Saccharomyces cerevisiae S288C: one gene and its partner. The main gene of each other region encodes a partner of the protein of the gene in region 2 in a complex. Each region holds a gene or a part of one and is shown on either strand. Other genes may lie near its edges.

Evidence for each region.
Region 1: VAR1 (region 2) and MRP2 share a complex: the UniProt entries of both Saccharomyces cerevisiae proteins name them as parts of the mitochondrial small ribosomal subunit.

Annotation. Positions count from the first base shown.
Region 1 is NC_001148.4:874,698-878,483, forward strand, and holds MRP2 (mitochondrial 37S ribosomal protein uS14m MRP2), read right to left. Parts: upstream 1,933-3,786; coding exon 1,585-1,932; downstream 1-1,584. Other genes in the region: MMS1 (Mms1p), read left to right, coding at 1-229; Rho family GTPase RHO1, read left to right, coding at 671-1,300; MET16 (phosphoadenylyl-sulfate reductase (thioredoxin)), read right to left, coding at 2,150-2,935; mediator complex subunit NUT2, read left to right, coding at 3,379-3,786. UniProt on the Saccharomyces cerevisiae protein: Component of the mitochondrial ribosome (mitoribosome), a dedicated translation machinery responsible for the synthesis of mitochondrial genome-encoded proteins, including at least some of the essential transmembrane subunits of the mitochondrial respiratory chain.
Region 2 is NC_001224.1:47,042-52,682, reverse strand, and holds VAR1 (mitochondrial 37S ribosomal protein VAR1), read right to left. Parts: upstream 3,783-5,641; coding exon 2,586-3,782; downstream 1-2,585. UniProt on the Saccharomyces cerevisiae protein: Component of the mitochondrial ribosome (mitoribosome), a dedicated translation machinery responsible for the synthesis of mitochondrial genome-encoded proteins, including at least some of the essential transmembrane subunits of the mitochondrial respiratory chain.

The sequences.
Region 1 (3,786 bases), on a different chromosome or scaffold from region 2:
CAAGCCTATTCAAGATATTAGTTACGATCCCGCAGTACAAACTTTATATGTGCTAATGGCAGATCAAACAATTCACAAATTCGGCAAGGACAGGTTGCCTTGCCAGGACGAATACGAACCAAGATGGAATTCTGGCTATTTGGTTTCAAGAAGGTCAATAGTTAAATCTGACCTCATCTGTGAGGTTGGGTTATGGAACCTTAGCGATAACTGCAAGAACACAGTATAATTCCCTCATTTCCAATAACATTGTCGCTGATAAAATCGTGATTCTCGATCAATGTGCTACGCGTCGTGCAGCGTGACAAGGGGCTAAAAAAAGATACAAGAATTCTTGTTGTTTCCAATTTGCTTCGCCTCAGAAAAAAAAATAAACAGATTATACAATTTTTGTTTGATTTGTATTGGGTACTACATGTTTTAGTAGTTGATACAAATACTTCTTTATCCTAATCGTATATATTTATTTTACCAGCAGGAATTCGTCTTTAATATCGTTTCGACCATCGATCATTCCTCTGAGTATTGCAAAAACATTTTTGGAACAACCCAAACTTAAAGTTACAAAACTCAAAAAAGGAACAAAATTAATAAAACAAAAGAATCGCTGTTAGAGGTTTATTGTTGCACTAATAGAAAATCATAGAACTTTAAAAATTATACTAGAAAGATGTCACAACAAGTTGGTAACAGTATCAGAAGAAAGCTGGTAATCGTTGGTGATGGTGCCTGTGGTAAGACATGTTTATTAATCGTCTTTTCCAAGGGCCAATTTCCAGAAGTCTACGTACCAACTGTCTTTGAAAACTATGTAGCAGATGTTGAAGTTGATGGGCGTCGTGTAGAGCTAGCGCTATGGGATACCGCTGGTCAAGAAGATTATGATAGACTAAGACCATTGTCATACCCAGACTCCAATGTCGTATTAATTTGTTTCTCTATCGATCTTCCAGATTCTTTAGAGAATGTACAAGAAAAATGGATTGCCGAAGTATTACATTTCTGTCAAGGTGTGCCAATTATTCTTGTTGGTTGTAAAGTGGATTTGAGAAACGACCCACAAACCATTGAACAATTAAGACAAGAAGGTCAACAACCCGTTACATCACAGGAGGGACAATCTGTAGCAGACCAGATTGGCGCAACCGGATACTACGAATGTTCGGCCAAGACTGGTTATGGTGTCAGAGAAGTGTTTGAGGCCGCCACTAGAGCTTCATTGATGGGTAAATCTAAAACGAATGGTAAAGCTAAGAAGAACACTACTGAAAAGAAGAAGAAGAAGTGTGTCTTGTTATAGGAGTGTCTCGATCTCTCAGTCGTTAACTTAGTGGCAGATACTGCCCTTTTTCAATCCCATTCCTTTTCTCATTGTATGTACGTATGCCTTTTTTTGTTATTTTAGCTCTAACTATAGCTACTTGTTTTTCTCCCAGTATGTGTATAATCTTATTCTTCTCTACATATAAGTGTATTGCTCAGTAAGTATTATCATCTATTAAAGAAGAATAAAAATTATCATGTATTTATTTACAAGTGCGTATCCTATATATATATATATATATACTTTCGCGATAAAATTTTTTACCAAATACCCTTCTTAACACCTGGCAAATTACCCTTCAGAGCGTTTTCTCTAAATTGATACCTACACAACCTAAAATCACTTAGAACAAATCTTGCATGTCCAGAGTCCACGCACCTATTTTTGATCTGCGTAGATCTCATGTAGTTTGGCAATGCATTTAGTTTTAACTGAGCCTCCAACCTCAGTTTTGTTGGAAGGTTCATATTTCTAGCGATGAATTTCAAAGATTTAACAAGGATTTCATTCTCTTTAAATTGTTGTCTTTTGAAGTTATCCCTAAGTATGCGAGCATTGATAAACCCTGGTGGTAGCTTGGTTTTTATAGGAAATCTGAAATTACCCATCGGTTAATGTATATATTTGTCAGTTTACCTTTTCTTTCGTTTTTCCTTTCAATCCTCTTTATCGCAGTTTGGTTCTTAGTTTGAATATTCCTCTGTTTTCGCTCTTTTCTCGTACAGCGCGAATTCTCCGCCAGCTTTAGAAAGTTGTAATCATTGGTGTTATTAAGGAATAAATAATTAGTCACATACATATGGTTATATATCGTACTCTATCTATCTAGGCATCTTGCTTTAAAAATTGCGCGAATCGGCTGGCTTCATGAATTCCACACTCGGTCTTGGCCTTGCCCTTCCATCTTCCTGCTCTCTCATCTTCACCTTCCTTGACGGGTTGTGTGGAATGGTAATCACCAATGGATCTATATCCAAGGTCCAAAAGTTCGTTGTATGGTACATTGTTTGCATCTATATACTGTTTAACCTGCTCGAACGTCCAATTGATCAATGGATTTATTTTTAAGATTCCATTAAGTTCGTCTATTTCAATAATCGACAGTTGGGAGCGGGCAGAACCTTGTGATTTTCTTCTACCAGTAAACACAGCACTTATATGTAGCTCTTTGTAGGCACGATGTGCAGGTTCCACTTTGGCCAGATAATCGTACTTGTCATCATCTTTCTCCCATAAGAAATCCCCGTATTTCGAGGCAAAATCTGCCTCCGATTCACATCCATCCGGCTTATATACGTGAATGGTTTGATTTTTAGGCTGGTAGTATTTTTTCTCAATCTCGTTTTTTAGTGTTAAAGTTTGTGGGAAATGGTGCAAAGTGTCTATAAATAATAGTTCTGGCATGTAGTATTTTTCAGATAGCTTTGACAACATATCGATAGTAACCAAGCCAGTCAAACCAAATGCAGTGGTTTGGAAAAGGTGAGGAAACGTTACGATAGACCATGCAATAATCTCCTGTGGCGTTTCCAGCTTGATTAGTTGTTCATTCCAATGATCCAACTGTTCTTGTGTGACAATTATATCATTATTCAAATGATAGGTCTTCATTTTATGAGTTGCTATGGGTTGATACCTTTGCTGGCCTTAGTTTTGATCTTAAAGCATTGAAAAGGTTACAAACAGTACAGTATACTTTTTTTATATCAATATAATACTATCTCTATGAGCTTTTACTTTGTCGAGATTTGCTGAGTCATGTTGTGGCTTTTCTTTTACTAGCCACGTGAAATGATGATAAAAATAAAAAGAATAACGACGGAATAAAGAACAGTATGATAAACCGTAAAGATATTTAGAATCAATAGGTGATGTCCACCCGGTAACAAGATGCCATTCATGTTAAACTAGGACAAATTTCCTTCTTGTCCCCCCACCATTCTCTTTTATCCAATTCTTTTGTCAGCGCGCATTAAAGAACAAGAACTTCGTACTTTTAACTACTAACTCCTGTTTGAGAAAGAGGCAAATATATAGAAAAATAAACCGATAAGATGAATGGAAACAGCACTAACAATGAACAATTGCAGCAAGAACTGGCCACTACTCAAGACCAAGTGGCTTCGATTATTGAGTCCTTCGTTGAATTAGGTGTCTCGATATATGATTTTCCTGGTACTCCAGAAGCCACCAAGGGAATGATCACCAACTTGCAAAGAAATGTGGATCGCTTGTACAAGCTGAACGTGAGAAGCAACGATCCTCAATCCAGCTTGTCTAAGGTGGACATTCCCTTGGAAGTTGTTCAATACATTGAGGACGGTAGAAATCCAGATATTTACACAAGAGAGTTCGTGGAAGCCATAAGAAGATCCAACCAATATCAAAGAGGCAAGATGCATGGATTGAAGCAATTAAGAGATTCACTTGCTGACAAGATTGTGGATGAATTTCCAGAGTTG
Region 2 (5,641 bases):
TCCTTCGGTTTTTATATTTCCTTTAATAAATATTAATAATAATAATTAAAAATATATAAAAATATTATAAAATTTCTATTTTTTTTTATAATAATAATATTTTATTAATATAATATAAAAATAATAAATAATTATAATATATGATTTATAAACTTTATTATTTATTTATTTTTAATATTAAGAATATTTTATATTTATAAATTAATTAAATAATAATAAAAATATATATATTAAATTTTAATAAAATTAAATAAAATATTAAATTATATGATTATAATATTAATTAAATAATTAATAATAATATTATAAAGTTCCGGGGCCCGGCCACGGGAGCCGGAACCCCGAAAGGAGAATAAAATAATTAATAATATATATATATATATAAATGATAAACAAGAAGCTATCTGGGGTCCATTAATAATTATTATTTTCAATAATAATAGGGACCCCCCATCTATAAATATTAATATAAAAATAATATATAAATATTTAAATAATATATTATTATATAAATAATAATAATAATAATAAATAATTTAATTTAATTTAATTTAATTATTTTTCTCCTTTCTTAAAATATTTTAATAAATATATATATTATATATATATAAATTATAATAAAAATAATAATTTTATATTTTTATAAATTATATTAATATAATAAAAAAAATAATAATAATATTAATATTAATATAATATAATATATATTAAACATTATTTATTATTTATTGACAATATTTAATTCTATTGTTATTCAATAAATAAATAAATAAACAAATATTTATAAATAAATTTTATAATATAATATATATATATATATATAATATAATATAATATAATATAATTAAATATCGATAAATAATCTAATTGGTTATTGATAATTTATCATTAATTATTTATCATTAATAATTAATAATTGATTTTAATTATAATAATATTTATAATTTATAATAATAAATAAATAAATAAATAATAATTATAATAATAATAAATTTATTATGTAATTAAATTAAATTACATTGTGTTATATTATTTATTATATTAATTATATGAGGATTATAAATTATATATATTTTAATAAATATTAATTATTTATAATTATATACAATTAATAATATTTACTTTTTATATATATATTAATTAATATATATTTAATAAAGGATATATATTATTATAATTACTTTATTTGAAATAATTAAATTATAATAAAAAAATATAAAATTATAGTATAAATTGAGTAAATTATATACTTTTTAGTGAATATATATTTTATCAATATTAATATTAATATTAAAATAGGTATGAACCTCGAGTAAATTATTATTATTAATTAATAATAATTTATGATTTATGATTAATAAATAGAGGTAGGAGGGAGGAGTTCCGAACGAAATCCATAACCCCATATGAAGTAATAATTTAATTCCAAATTCAAATTAATTGAAACTTTTTATTTATATTAAAATAAATAAATATATTCTTCGACTATTTATATTAATATTATTATTATTATTATTATTAAAATGAATATTTATAGTTATAGTTATAATTATAATTATAGTTATAGTTATAGTTATAGTTATATAATAGGTGTTAACCTCGCGAGAAGGAGGAGTTCCGGAACCCAGCATGGGGGCCAATTAATTATATAATAAATAATTAATATTATTTATTATAATTATTATTTATAAAAAAAAAAAAATAAGTTTTAAATATATAACTATAGAGAAAAATTATATAATAAATTTTCCTTTATTTAATAAAAAGATTATAATCTTTATATATATTAACCATATATATATTTTTTATATATTATTATTAAATTTATAATTAAATATTATATTTATAAAATTTAAATTAAAATTTAAAATAGTCCGGCCCGCCCCCGCGGGGGGGGGCGGACCCCGAAGGAGTGAGGGACCCCCTCCCTAACCTAATGGGAGGGGGACCGAACCCCGAAGGAGTTTGGTTAAAGAAGATAAAGAATAAAAATTAAGAATATTATTTTATTTATTTTTTTTAATATTATATATTAAAATATAATAGAAAAAAGAGTATTATATATTAATATAAAATATATTAATATAAATAACTAACCGCCCCCGCGGGGGCGGTTTATATAATTTAATAATTAATATATTAATAATAATTATAATAGTCCGGCCCGCCCCCTGCGGGGCGGACCCCGAAGGAGTAATATATATATATATTTTTATTTAATTAACTATCAATAATAATTATTTATAATAATAAAATATAAATAGGATCCAAAAGTAGGATTAATTTATAATTTTATTTGATATTTATTTTTAATTAAATTATTATTATAATAATTATATAAAAAAATTAATTAATTAATATTTTTAATATAAATAAATTATAATTTTATTTTTATATAATTATATGATATTATATTATATTTTATTTATATATAATTATATATATATAAAAAGTAAATATTATTTTATATATTTATATATATATATATATTATTTATTTATTTATTTTATTTATTATATTTATTTTATTTCTCCTTTCGGGGTTCCGGCTCCCGTGGCCGGGCCCCGGAACTATTAATATATATATTAAATAAAGTTTAATTTAACTTTAATATTATATTTACCATTTTTATTAATATTAGAATTATTATATAAATTATGATTAGAAGGGATATAATTTAATTTATAATTATTATTAATATTACTTCATAAATATTTTTTATTATTAAAAGTACCATTTAATAAATTAAGTGTACTAGTTCTACCATTATTATTACTTAATCTACCTTTAAATTTAATAGATCAACCAACTAAATATTTATATATTAAAATATCTATAGGAATATTATCAATAGTTATATTATTATAAATATTATTAATATTACCAATATAATTATTATTATTATTATTATAATTATTATTATTATTAATATTATTATTATTATTTAATAAATTAATTATATTATTATATTTATTATTATTAATATTATTAATATTATTAATATAATTTATAGAAATATTATGATCATTTAATTTAGGCATAATATTATTTAATATACGTTGATAATTAGTTAAGATACCATTATTATATTTATCTATATCATTTAAACTAATATATTTACTAAAAATATCACTATTTAAATAAATATATGATAATTTAATAGGTTCAATAGTTACTTTTTTTTTATAATAATAACTTAAAATATTACATAAATTATTATTTATATTATTATTTATAATATTTATTAATTTATTTATTATATTTATATAATAATTATTATTATTATTATTATTATTATTATTAATATCATTATTATAATAATAAAATTTAATATTTAATTTATTTAAACTATGTTGATTAATAAGTTTACTTATAATAATTTTATTAATATTTATATTATTTAATTTTAAAGTTATTATTTTATATAATAATTTATTAATTAATTTATCATTTATAGTATTTATAATTTCTATATTTTTATTATAATTATAAATTTGTAGATTTCAATTATTTATATTATTTAAATGTTGTAATTTATTATTAATATTCCCCGCGGGACCAATCCGGTGAACAACCGGATTGGCGCCCGCGGGGTTTATATTATTATTATTTAATATTCTTTTTATATTATTTATTTTTTTATTATTTATATCTAATAATATATTCTTTAATAATAATTTCTTATTTATTAATGAATCTAATAGATTATTAATAATAATATTATTATTATTATTAAGTTTATTTATTATTGATAAAATTATATTTAATAATTTTAATTTCATTATTTTTTATTTTTACTTTTTATCTATTATATATACATATTAATATTAATATTAATATAAATAGAAATATATATATATATATAATATGCATCCTTATTATAATATTATTTATTATTATAAATAATAATATATTAGATATTTTTTGCAGTTATTAATAACATTATATTCTTTATAATAATAATATAAATCCCAAATAAAAAAAAATAATTATTATTAATAATTTATATATAAATAATTTATAAAATAAAATATTATAATTTTATATATAAAAATAAAAATATTATTAAAATAAAATATATCATAATATTATTAAAATATATATATAAATATATAAATATATATATATATATATAAATATAAAGAATTATTAATTATTTATAATTTTTAATATATTATTATTAATTAATAAAATAAAATCCCTTCTTAAGAATAAAAAGGGTCGGACCGGACTATTATATAAATAATATTATTAAAATAATAATTATTATTATTATTATTTTTATATATTTTATATTTATTAAAATTAATTAATTAATTAATTATTATTATTTATTTATTTATTTTATTTTTATAGGAATAATATTAAAATTATTATTATATATATGTATTATTACGGATGATGTAGGATTTGAACCTACGTAGCCAATAAAGACTAATGATAGCTCAAATATCACACTTTAAACCACTCAGTCAACCATCCTTAAGAGGAATATAAATATAAATATAAATATTAATATAAATATAAATATTAAATAAACTCCTTTCGGGGTTCCGGCTCCCGTGGCCGGGCCCCGGAACTATAAATATATTATATATATATATTATAAAAATCTTTAATATAATATTATATAATTATTAATATAAGAACTTTTAAACTTTTATTAATTTATTTTCTCCTTCGGGGTTCGGTCCCCCTCCCTAACGGGAGGGGGTCCCTCACTCCTTTCTTAAAATAAATTATTATTAATAATTATTATATAATAAGAATTAATATAATTAATATAATTAATTTTATAAATTATAATATTAAAATAATTATTATTATTATTATATAATTAATCATATATTTTTAATTTATTATATTTATTAATATAATATAAATTATTATTTAATATTTAATATTTAAATAATATAAACCCCGCGGGACCAATCCGGTGAACAACCGGATTGGCGCCCGCGGGGAATATTAATAAATTAAATATTTAAATAATTATAATTAAATATTATTAATGTATATATAAATTTATATATTATATAGATAGATAGATAGATTTATAATATATTTTATTATATTGTTATAATATATTATAATTTATTTATAAACCTAATTATTATATTAATTATATGAAAATTATAAATTATATATATTTTATTAAATATTAATAGTTCCGGGGCCCGGCCACGGGAGCCGGAACCCCGAAAGGAGATGTTCACTAATATTATATTAATATTAATATTAATATTATTAAATGAATAATACAATAAAAATTATATTGTGTTCAATTAAATATATTTAATATATTTATATATAAAGAATTTATTATTTATTAATAAATATTATCATAATATATATATTTCTTATTTATTAATAAATATTTTTATTATTAATAAATAATATATCTTATTATGGTAATTTATATTTATTTATATAAATGTTTATTATAACAATATTTATAAATTATTATTATTAATAATATAAAAAAAGTAATTATATATTATCCATTATTTATTTATTTATATATTAATATATTAAAAAAAAGGTATATTATATATTATTATTATTTTTTATTATAATTTATATATATTATTATTATTATAATATTTATATATTTTATAATAATTATATAATTATAAGAATG